2 linked regions of the Chlamydomonas reinhardtii genome follow. The protein of the gene in region 1 binds, or shares a complex with, the protein of each later gene. Links are inferred from orthologs where the notes say so. Each region holds a gene or a part of one and is shown on either strand. Other genes may lie near its edges.

What was found.
Region 2: CHLRE_02g075150v5 (region 1) and CHLRE_16g667750v5 share a complex: the UniProt entries of both Arabidopsis thaliana proteins name them as parts of the RNA polymerase II complex. The link is inferred for Chlamydomonas reinhardtii from reciprocal best matches to the Arabidopsis thaliana genes NRPB2 and NRPB7.

Annotation. Positions count from the first base shown.
Region 1 is NC_057005.1:294,491-298,297, forward strand, and holds part of CHLRE_02g075150v5 (uncharacterized protein), read right to left. Parts: intron 3,637-3,807; coding exon 3,477-3,636; intron 3,266-3,476; coding exon 3,104-3,265; intron 2,895-3,103; coding exon 2,779-2,894; intron 2,404-2,778; coding exon 2,250-2,403; intron 2,048-2,249; coding exon 1,924-2,047; intron 1,604-1,923; coding exon 1,397-1,603; intron 1,099-1,396; coding exon 902-1,098; intron 647-901; coding exon 453-646; intron 238-452; coding exon 1-237. UniProt on the Arabidopsis thaliana protein: DNA-dependent RNA polymerase catalyzes the transcription of DNA into RNA using the four ribonucleoside triphosphates as substrates. Second largest component of RNA polymerase II which synthesizes mRNA precursors and many functional non-coding RNAs.
Region 2 is NC_057019.1:4,314,885-4,318,772, forward strand, and holds the start of CHLRE_16g667750v5 (uncharacterized protein), read left to right. Parts: upstream 1-1,064; 5' UTR 1,065-1,230; coding exon 1,231-1,329; intron 1,330-1,665; coding exon 1,666-1,734; intron 1,735-2,425; coding exon 2,426-2,542; intron 2,543-3,028; coding exon 3,029-3,079; intron 3,080-3,336; coding exon 3,337-3,471; intron 3,472-3,705; coding exon 3,706-3,765; 3' UTR 3,766-3,888. Other genes in the region: CHLRE_16g667800v5 (uncharacterized protein), read right to left, coding at 241-339, 527-712. UniProt on the Arabidopsis thaliana protein: DNA-dependent RNA polymerase catalyzes the transcription of DNA into RNA using the four ribonucleoside triphosphates as substrates. Component of RNA polymerase II which synthesizes mRNA precursors and many functional non-coding RNAs.

The sequences.
Region 1 (3,807 bases):
TTGGTGGCGTACATGCCCATGGCCTGCTTGCCCATGGCGGACTGGTAGGTGTTGCGGGGCGACTGGTTGTGGTCGGGGAAGGGGATGATGGAGGCGCACACGCCCAGGATCATGGCCGGGTGGATCTCGCAGTGCGTGTAGGTGGTGCCGGTGGCGGCGCCCGCCTCGCGCGCGTTGCGCAGGTCGGCGATGGTCATGGCAATCATGGTCGTCTCCTCCTCCTCCGCGTCAATGTACCTGTGCGGGGGGCGGGTGCGTGAGGGCGCGGGGTTGGGTCCTGCCTCGCATCCACACCCCTCCTGTATCAAACGCCCCTCTGCTGTACGGCCGTACATCACAACCCCCGTTTTATTGCTGGCGGCCCATGCTGGGCTTGCACTCCCCTCCGCTAGTTTGGCTTGGTTTGGTTCCGTTTGGGCTTGCACGCCCACACGCACACGCGCCCCACTCACTCGACCAGGCCGTCCTGCACCAGCTGCGGCCAGGCGTACTCGTCCTCGTCCGGCAGCGGGCTGATGAGGCGGCGGATGTGGTGCTTGCTCACCAGCAGCCGGTTGTCCTCGCAGATGTAGAGCGGGCGGCTGGCGCGGCCGTAGTCGGTGAAGATGCGCAGCTCCTTGAGCGGGCCGTCGTAGATGATGGCCACCTAACCAAAGAGGAGGACGCGGGAGAAGGGAGTGGTGGATGTGCATGGATGAGCACGTGTGCGGTCGCGGCTCCAAGCGCGGGCGGTATTAACAGCACACCGTGCATGCAACACCCTTACAGGTGGCTACTGTACTCCTGCTTCTGACGCGGCTCTGGGTCCTAGTTCGCAAGAAGACTATGGAAACCCCTCAACACCCGCGCAGCCATACACACACACACGTTTTTTTTGACACACACACGCGGCCGGCCGCACCTCGGTGCTGAAGGCCACCTGTCGGCGCATGGCCCTCAGGTTCTTGATGAGCGCGGTGGGGTCGCGCTGGATGCCCAGCCACACGCCGTTGATGAACACCTTGGTGCTGGCGGCGATGTCGGCGGGCGTCACCTCGTCCAGCGCCTCCGTGTTGAACTCCTCCAGGTGCGCCACCACCGGCAGAGAGGGAGTGCCCACTGCAGGGCGATGAGGAGGGAGGCAGGGGGAGCCGTGGGTGAAGGCCAGCAGGGGCAACTGGAGCCCGCAGCCCTGCCGTCGGCCGCCAAGCGCGAAACGTCGCCGTCGGCACATGCCCCGGCCCTTCGACCGGCCCTCAGGTGCCTGCCCAATCCGGCTACTTGGACCCTTCCCCTTCCCCTTCCCCTTCCCCTTCCCCTTCCCCTTCCCCTTCCCCTTCCCCTTCCCCTTCCCCTTCCCCTTCCCCTTCCCCTTCCCCTTCCCCTTCCCCTTCCCTCCCCCTCCTGGCCCACCCACCTGTGATGTAGCACATGAGCGCCATGTTCTTGACCAGCCCCACCGCCTGCCCCTCCGGCGTCTCGGCGGGGCAGAAGATGCCCCACAGGCTGTTGTGCAGCTGCCGCGGCTTGGCCAGCTTGCCCTCGCGCCCGATGGGCGAGTTGACGCGCCGCAGGTGGCTGAGCGTGGAGGCGTAGGTGAGGCGCGCCAGCACCTGGCTCACACCTGCAGGAGGGGAGGGAGGGGCAGCCGTCCACGGAGAACCGGGAGGGGGTTAACATTAAACCAATCCTGTAAGGAAACAGTCGCGCTGCAAGGAGGGAGGGGGGTTACATTCATGATTAATTAAGAAGTGAAGTCGTAGGCAGGTACAGTTGCAGAGTAGAGGGGGAGGGTAAGATAAGTGGCTCGAGCGCGAGCAGCAGGAGGCTTGTCGGGTGGTCTAGACGCGGCGCCAGGGGGGGGGGGTGCGAGCGGGCGGGCGGGCAGATGCATCGACTGCCCTGTCACCTGTCAGTACCCCTGTTGCCGTGCCCGCCGCTCACCCGCTCGGATGCCCTGCTTGCCCTGCTCGCCCCAGTTGCCGGTCGCCAGCGAGTACTTGAGGCCGCGCGTGATGACCTTGTCGTTGATGGCGCTGATCACGTTGATCTCCTTGCCCGCGTCCACCTGGGGGTGCGGGTGCGGGCGCGGGTGTGGGTGTAGGCGCCGGGGGGCGTTCACTGCACCGGCACCCACCTCCCCTTTTCGCCCCCGATGATACAGCGCCAGTCCTGTGTGCAACCCCTTTCCTGTCCGTGCCCCCCCTCCGAAGGACTGGTGCAATCCCCCCCCTCCACTCCCCTCCCCCTCCCCCCCTCCCCCCGCCCACCATGCGCTGCGCCTGCATGCGCAGCTCCTTGCACAGCTTGCGGAACAGCAGCCGGAACAGCCCCGCCATGAGCGGCCCGCCCAGGTCCAGCCGCTTGTTGGCGTAGTGGTCGCGGTCGTCCTCGGGGCGCCGGCCCAGAGCCACAAGCATCAGCCTGCGGGCAGGGGGGAGGGGGCGGGGGCGGGGGCCAGCGGCCGAGGCAGGAGCGGGGTTATGGAGGGGATGGAGGGGGGCTGGAGGGGTCGAAGCGGGACATCAAGCACGGCAGGCGACGTGGCGGACAGCGAGGAAGCAGTGGGCGGATGAAAAGACCGAGAGCTGCCGGTGTGACGCGGTCCTGAGCCACCAGCCCACCGCCACCAGCCCACCGCGGCTGCATGGACCGCCAGACAAGGGCGCCACTGCCCGTGCCGCACCCGGCTGTGCTCCGCGACAGCGACAGCCGCCCCGCCGACAGCACCATACCCCACCAGGGCCCCACGCACCGGCCCCACAGCCGCCGCCCCCCTCCGCCCGCCCCCTCCCTCACCTGTGCACCATGTATCCCACGAAGTAGCCCTTGCGCGTCTCCATGAACTCCTCCGTGCCCAGGTGCGGCAGCAGCTCCTTGATCAGCAGGTTGCGCGCGTACTGGATGCGGTCGGCCTGCAGGGGTGTGGGTTCGGGTGGGGTTGGGGTGGGGGTTGCAAGGATGTTTGGAAAAGCGGTACAGGATGGGGGGGGGCGTGTGCGCGCATTTTAAGGCATTCAAGGGTTTCAGGTTTAGGTTGCGTGGGTGGGTTTTTGCACCCTAGGTAAGCCCGTGCACAGTTCCCCTCCCCCACCCCCAGCACCCTCCCTGCCGAGCCGCGCACCTTGCTGGCTCCCGTGACTGTTCCTCTCTTGCCCAGGTAGTTGAGCGCCTCCTCCTGCGTCTGCACCTCCTGCGCCTCCTCCACGCTGCTCCTCAGCGCCTCCAGCATGGCGGGGTCGGCGTCCAGGTCGTACACAATGTGCTCCAGGATGTCGCGGTCAGACTGGAGGGAGGGGGGCGGAGGGGAGGAGAGGGGAGTGGGAGGTAGGCGGGCGGTGGGGGGGTGGGGGGCGAGTGTGCACCCCGTGCCGCTGCTGTATCTCCTGCTGCATCCCCTGCTGCATCTCCTACTGCTTCCCCTGCAGTCGGGTCTTGTTGGGTTACTACCCCTCCCTCCCTCCCTCGCCGCGCCTCGCCCCGTCGACCCCACGCACCACGAAGCCCAGCGCCCGGAAGAGGATGAAGATGGGGAACTCGGCCCGGATGTAGGGGATCTGCGCGCGGATGACGCCTGCCGCGCCCGCCTTCTTGCCCTTGGCCAGCATCATGATGCTCATGCTGCTGGCGGAGCGGGTGCTGCCCTCCACAACAGACCTGCATGGGGGCGGGCGGGGGTTGCATTCATGATTAGTTAAAGAAGTGGTAGACGGTAGACCAAAGCAATCGTTACGCCGACCAGCTCCCGGCTCCGGGGGTGGGGGTACAAAGACAGGGTTGTAGCGTTGAGGCGGGGTGGGTGGGCAGGTGGGTAGGTGGGGTGATTGG
Region 2 (3,888 bases), on another chromosome or scaffold:
TTTTCTAACCATCCTTGCAACCCCCGCACGCGGGATCCCGTAGCCTTGTACTGCCCTACTTCGCTACTTCCACGACTTCTACTCATACTCGCAGCCTTGCCATCCCCCACATGTCCGTCACGCCCTGCTGCTGGACGCTTCTGATGTACAACGACTCGCTTATGCAGCTGCAGTTATCCTTGCCGCGCGACTGTTTCCTTACGGGATTGGTTCAACGTTAACCCGCGGCCTCCCCCGCACCTGGTCGGGGCATGTGAGCACGCGCAGGTAGGCGTCCGCGGCGGCCCCAAGGTGGCCCGCGTCCTCCAGCCTGTAGGCCTTGGCCATGAGCGCCTCACACTGCACAGGGGCGGGAGAGGAGAGGGAGGAGAGGGATAAGCAAGGTAAGCCGGAGGGGGAGCGTGGCGTGTTTTGGGGTGTTGGGGAGGCTGAGGGGTGACCGTGGCGCTCTCTCGCTGGCAGCTGCCGCGACCCGCTACGTGTGTGTCAGCCCCTTCGGCACTGCACAGGCACGAGCCCTTCCCACCTGCGGGCTTGGCTTCTTCAGCAGGTCACGCAGCAGCTTCTCTGCCTTTGCCCGGTCCTCGTGCAGCCTCCGCACGTAGTGGACCTTCTCCACATTCCGCTTGTATGCCGCAATTTCATGAGCGAATAACTCATCCACCGCGTCCTTCTTACGCGTTGGTAAAGCCGAACGCGACCTTCCGGCCATTTCACAAGTGGGTTCAACCAAATGTCGGGTTGGGTGACATCTTCACTAGAAACTAGCGTCAATATTTGTTATGAATTCGACCTGAAATAATAATATGAGTCCAGGCTTCAGTGTAATTAATGAATGGAGGCAAGCCAGCTCCTACTAGCAATACTCAGTGCTAGCGTGTCAGGGCAGAGTCATCCACTGCTGGCTAGTCTTCACTGTAGTAATTAATAGCTGGTGAACTCGGGAAAGGACAGCGAAGCGAACTATTGGCCACTTGCTGCATGAGACTTCGGCCCATGCCGTCTCGTCTGAAGTTGTCCCCTCAAATTAACTTTGTTACGCATGATGATTTTGTTAGAATCTACTATAGCACCTGCTCCAGTCCCCACCAGGCTCAGTGCCCCATCCCTTCGCAGAATTTCTTGCAGCCACCTCATACTCATACTTACCACAAGTAGTAACGCTGTAACTTCAAGAGGAGTCACGCATAGCGTGCTAGGGTAGTCGGCGATAGGTTAGTCCGCCCGAGGATGTTCTACTTCCTGACGCTCAGCAAGTCACTGGACATCCATCCTAAGCACTTTGGATCTAAGCTGCGGGAGGTCATTCGTGAGAAGCTTATTGCGGAGGTATGCCGCTAGTCCAGCGAGCACTTGGCGGGAAGACCTTTTGGGGGAAGGTCGGCACGGGGGTCAGGGAGCTCGGAGCCCGGCTGGGCCTACGTGCCCCTACACCGGCGCAATACAAAATCTCCAAAGCTCGTGCGTGCCGAACCACCTTGCTACGCTAGCACAAGGCTGGCCGGGGCGTGCACAGCCGCAGCTGGCCCCGCTTGCGGCGGCGCGCACGCAGGGCGTCCGAGCCTGCCGCCACACTACTCGCCCTGCTCCTCTACCCGCAATGAGTGCAATCGCTGGTGCAAGTCGTGCTTACGGACAAAACCACGCATACACGCAAACGTACAGACGGAAGGTACCTGCACTGGCAAGTACGGCTATGTGGTGGCGGTAACCAAGGTGGACGACATTGGCCGGGTGAGAGCTGCGTGTGCGTGTGTGTTTTGGCGGCGCGGGCAAAGGGCACAGGGGAAAGGGGAACAGGGAGAGTAAGAGTTGGATGGGCCCAGGAGCCTCCTGAATGAGTTGGGTCAGGTCGGGCGCTGCCGTCATGCGCCAGCGGCTGCGGCCTTGGCGTGGCCCCACATCTCCTCGCTCTAATGCGTTGGGTTCGGTTCAGTTTGGGCGGGTATCTACAACCTACCAGCCTGGCCGCTGCGAAGGAAAGGGGTGCGGGAGGGGGCGTGGGAGCTGTCTGCGGTAGGCGGCCAGGGGCACCACTGGGCAGCGGGCTCCTGACGCCGCCAGGATTCGGACGCCAGCAGAGGCGGCGGCTGAGGACTGGCGCAGGCAACAGTGGGCAGCTGAGGGGGGGCTGAGGGGGAGGCTCCGAGGCCCCGTCCACATCCCTGCCCACTACTACTGCTCCTGGCTACGCCTTCACTTCTTAAATAATCATGAATGTAACCCGCCCTCGACACAGACACAAACACACACACACACACACACACACACACACACACACACACACACACACACACACACACACACACACGCACACACACACACACACATACGTGTGCATCCGCGCTGACACGCACATACACACACGCCCCGACGCGCCCCGGTATCGGGCACGTGGGCACCCCTGCTCACGCGCGCCGCGCAGGGCCGCATCCGCCAGGACCAGTCGGGCTACGCCACCTTTGAGGTGTCGTACGGCTGCATCGTGTGCCGCCCCTACAAGGGCGAGGTGCTGGACGCGGTGGTCACCTCCGTCAACAAGGTGTGCGGGGCGTGTGTGTGGATGGGGGGATGCATAGTTTGGTACAGAGAAGTGTAGCGAAGTAGGGGAGTTGTATATACCAGCCCAAACTAAGCCAAACCAAGCCTAACTGGCGGAGCGCAGGCAGAGGCGTTAGTTGCAAGCGGTAATACTTATGGGGGGAGGGGCGCAGGGGAAGGGGGGCGGGAATGCTGTGGAGGTGGCGCGGGCAGTGCAGGGCATGGAGGAAGGGCGGGAGGCGTGGGGTGCGGTTGGCTGTGCGGCTGCCCGTCACTAAAATGTGGACAGCTGCTGGTGACGTGATGCATCAGCAGCGCCGCTAGCTACAAACCCCTGTTCCACCCCCATTCGTTTCGGCGATGCACTTAGCGTACTACTCCCCGCTGGCCCAGCCGCCCGGCTGACCCGTTGCCAACATCGCAACAAAGGCGGAGACCTTTTTAAAGTGTAACACGCCGCCACGCCATGCCATGCCACGCTATGCAGATGGGCTTCTTCGCCCAGGCAGGGCCGCTACAACTGTTCGTCACACAGCATGTGAGTAATGCCGTGAAATGCTGTGTGCCAGTGCCGTGTGTGACAGCTGTGCAGCGGGGAAAGGAGGGCGGCACAGGAGGGCGGCGAGGGGCCCGGGGAGGGGAGGGCAGGGAGGTGGTTGGGTAACCCAATGGCTGCCCACACACACCCGCTGTGACTCCTGCACGCGCCCCATGTGGCGCCCTACTCCCGCTGCGCTGCTGCCCCTGCGCTGAATAACGCTGCTGTTGGTCTCGCCACGACGCCGCACCACGCAGTTAATTCCGGACGAGTTCGAGTTTGACACGAGTGACGATAATAGCTGGATATCAATGGACCAGACCACTCGCATCCAGGGCGGCACGCACGTGCGTATACGCATCGTGGGCATCAAGTACGACCCCTCAGAAGTGGTGAGTGCGTGCGTGTGTGCGTGTGAGAGGAAATGTAGGGAAGGCGGTTGTGCTTGCCGCGCGCTGTCCTCCTTCTGCCGCTGGTGCTTGTCGCGACACGCCTGCCAGCCCATGCCGCTCGTCATCCTGGACGGCTAGTGCCTCGCCCCGCCCCGCCCCTTCCATGTGCCTGCCCTTGCCGACCCTGTGTGTCTCTGTCTCTGTGTGTGTGCCCCCGTGTGTGCGCTGCTGCAGTTTTGTATTGCAACCATGAAGGAGGACTACCTTGGAGTTATAGGCAGCGAGGCGGCGTGAGAGGCGGCCTGGCAACGTGAGAGGCGGCGTGACGGCGGTAGAGGCGGCCTGGCGGCAGGAGAGGCGGCCTTGGCAGCGGGAGAGGCGGCCTTGGCAGCGGGAGAGGCGGCCTTGGCAGCGGGA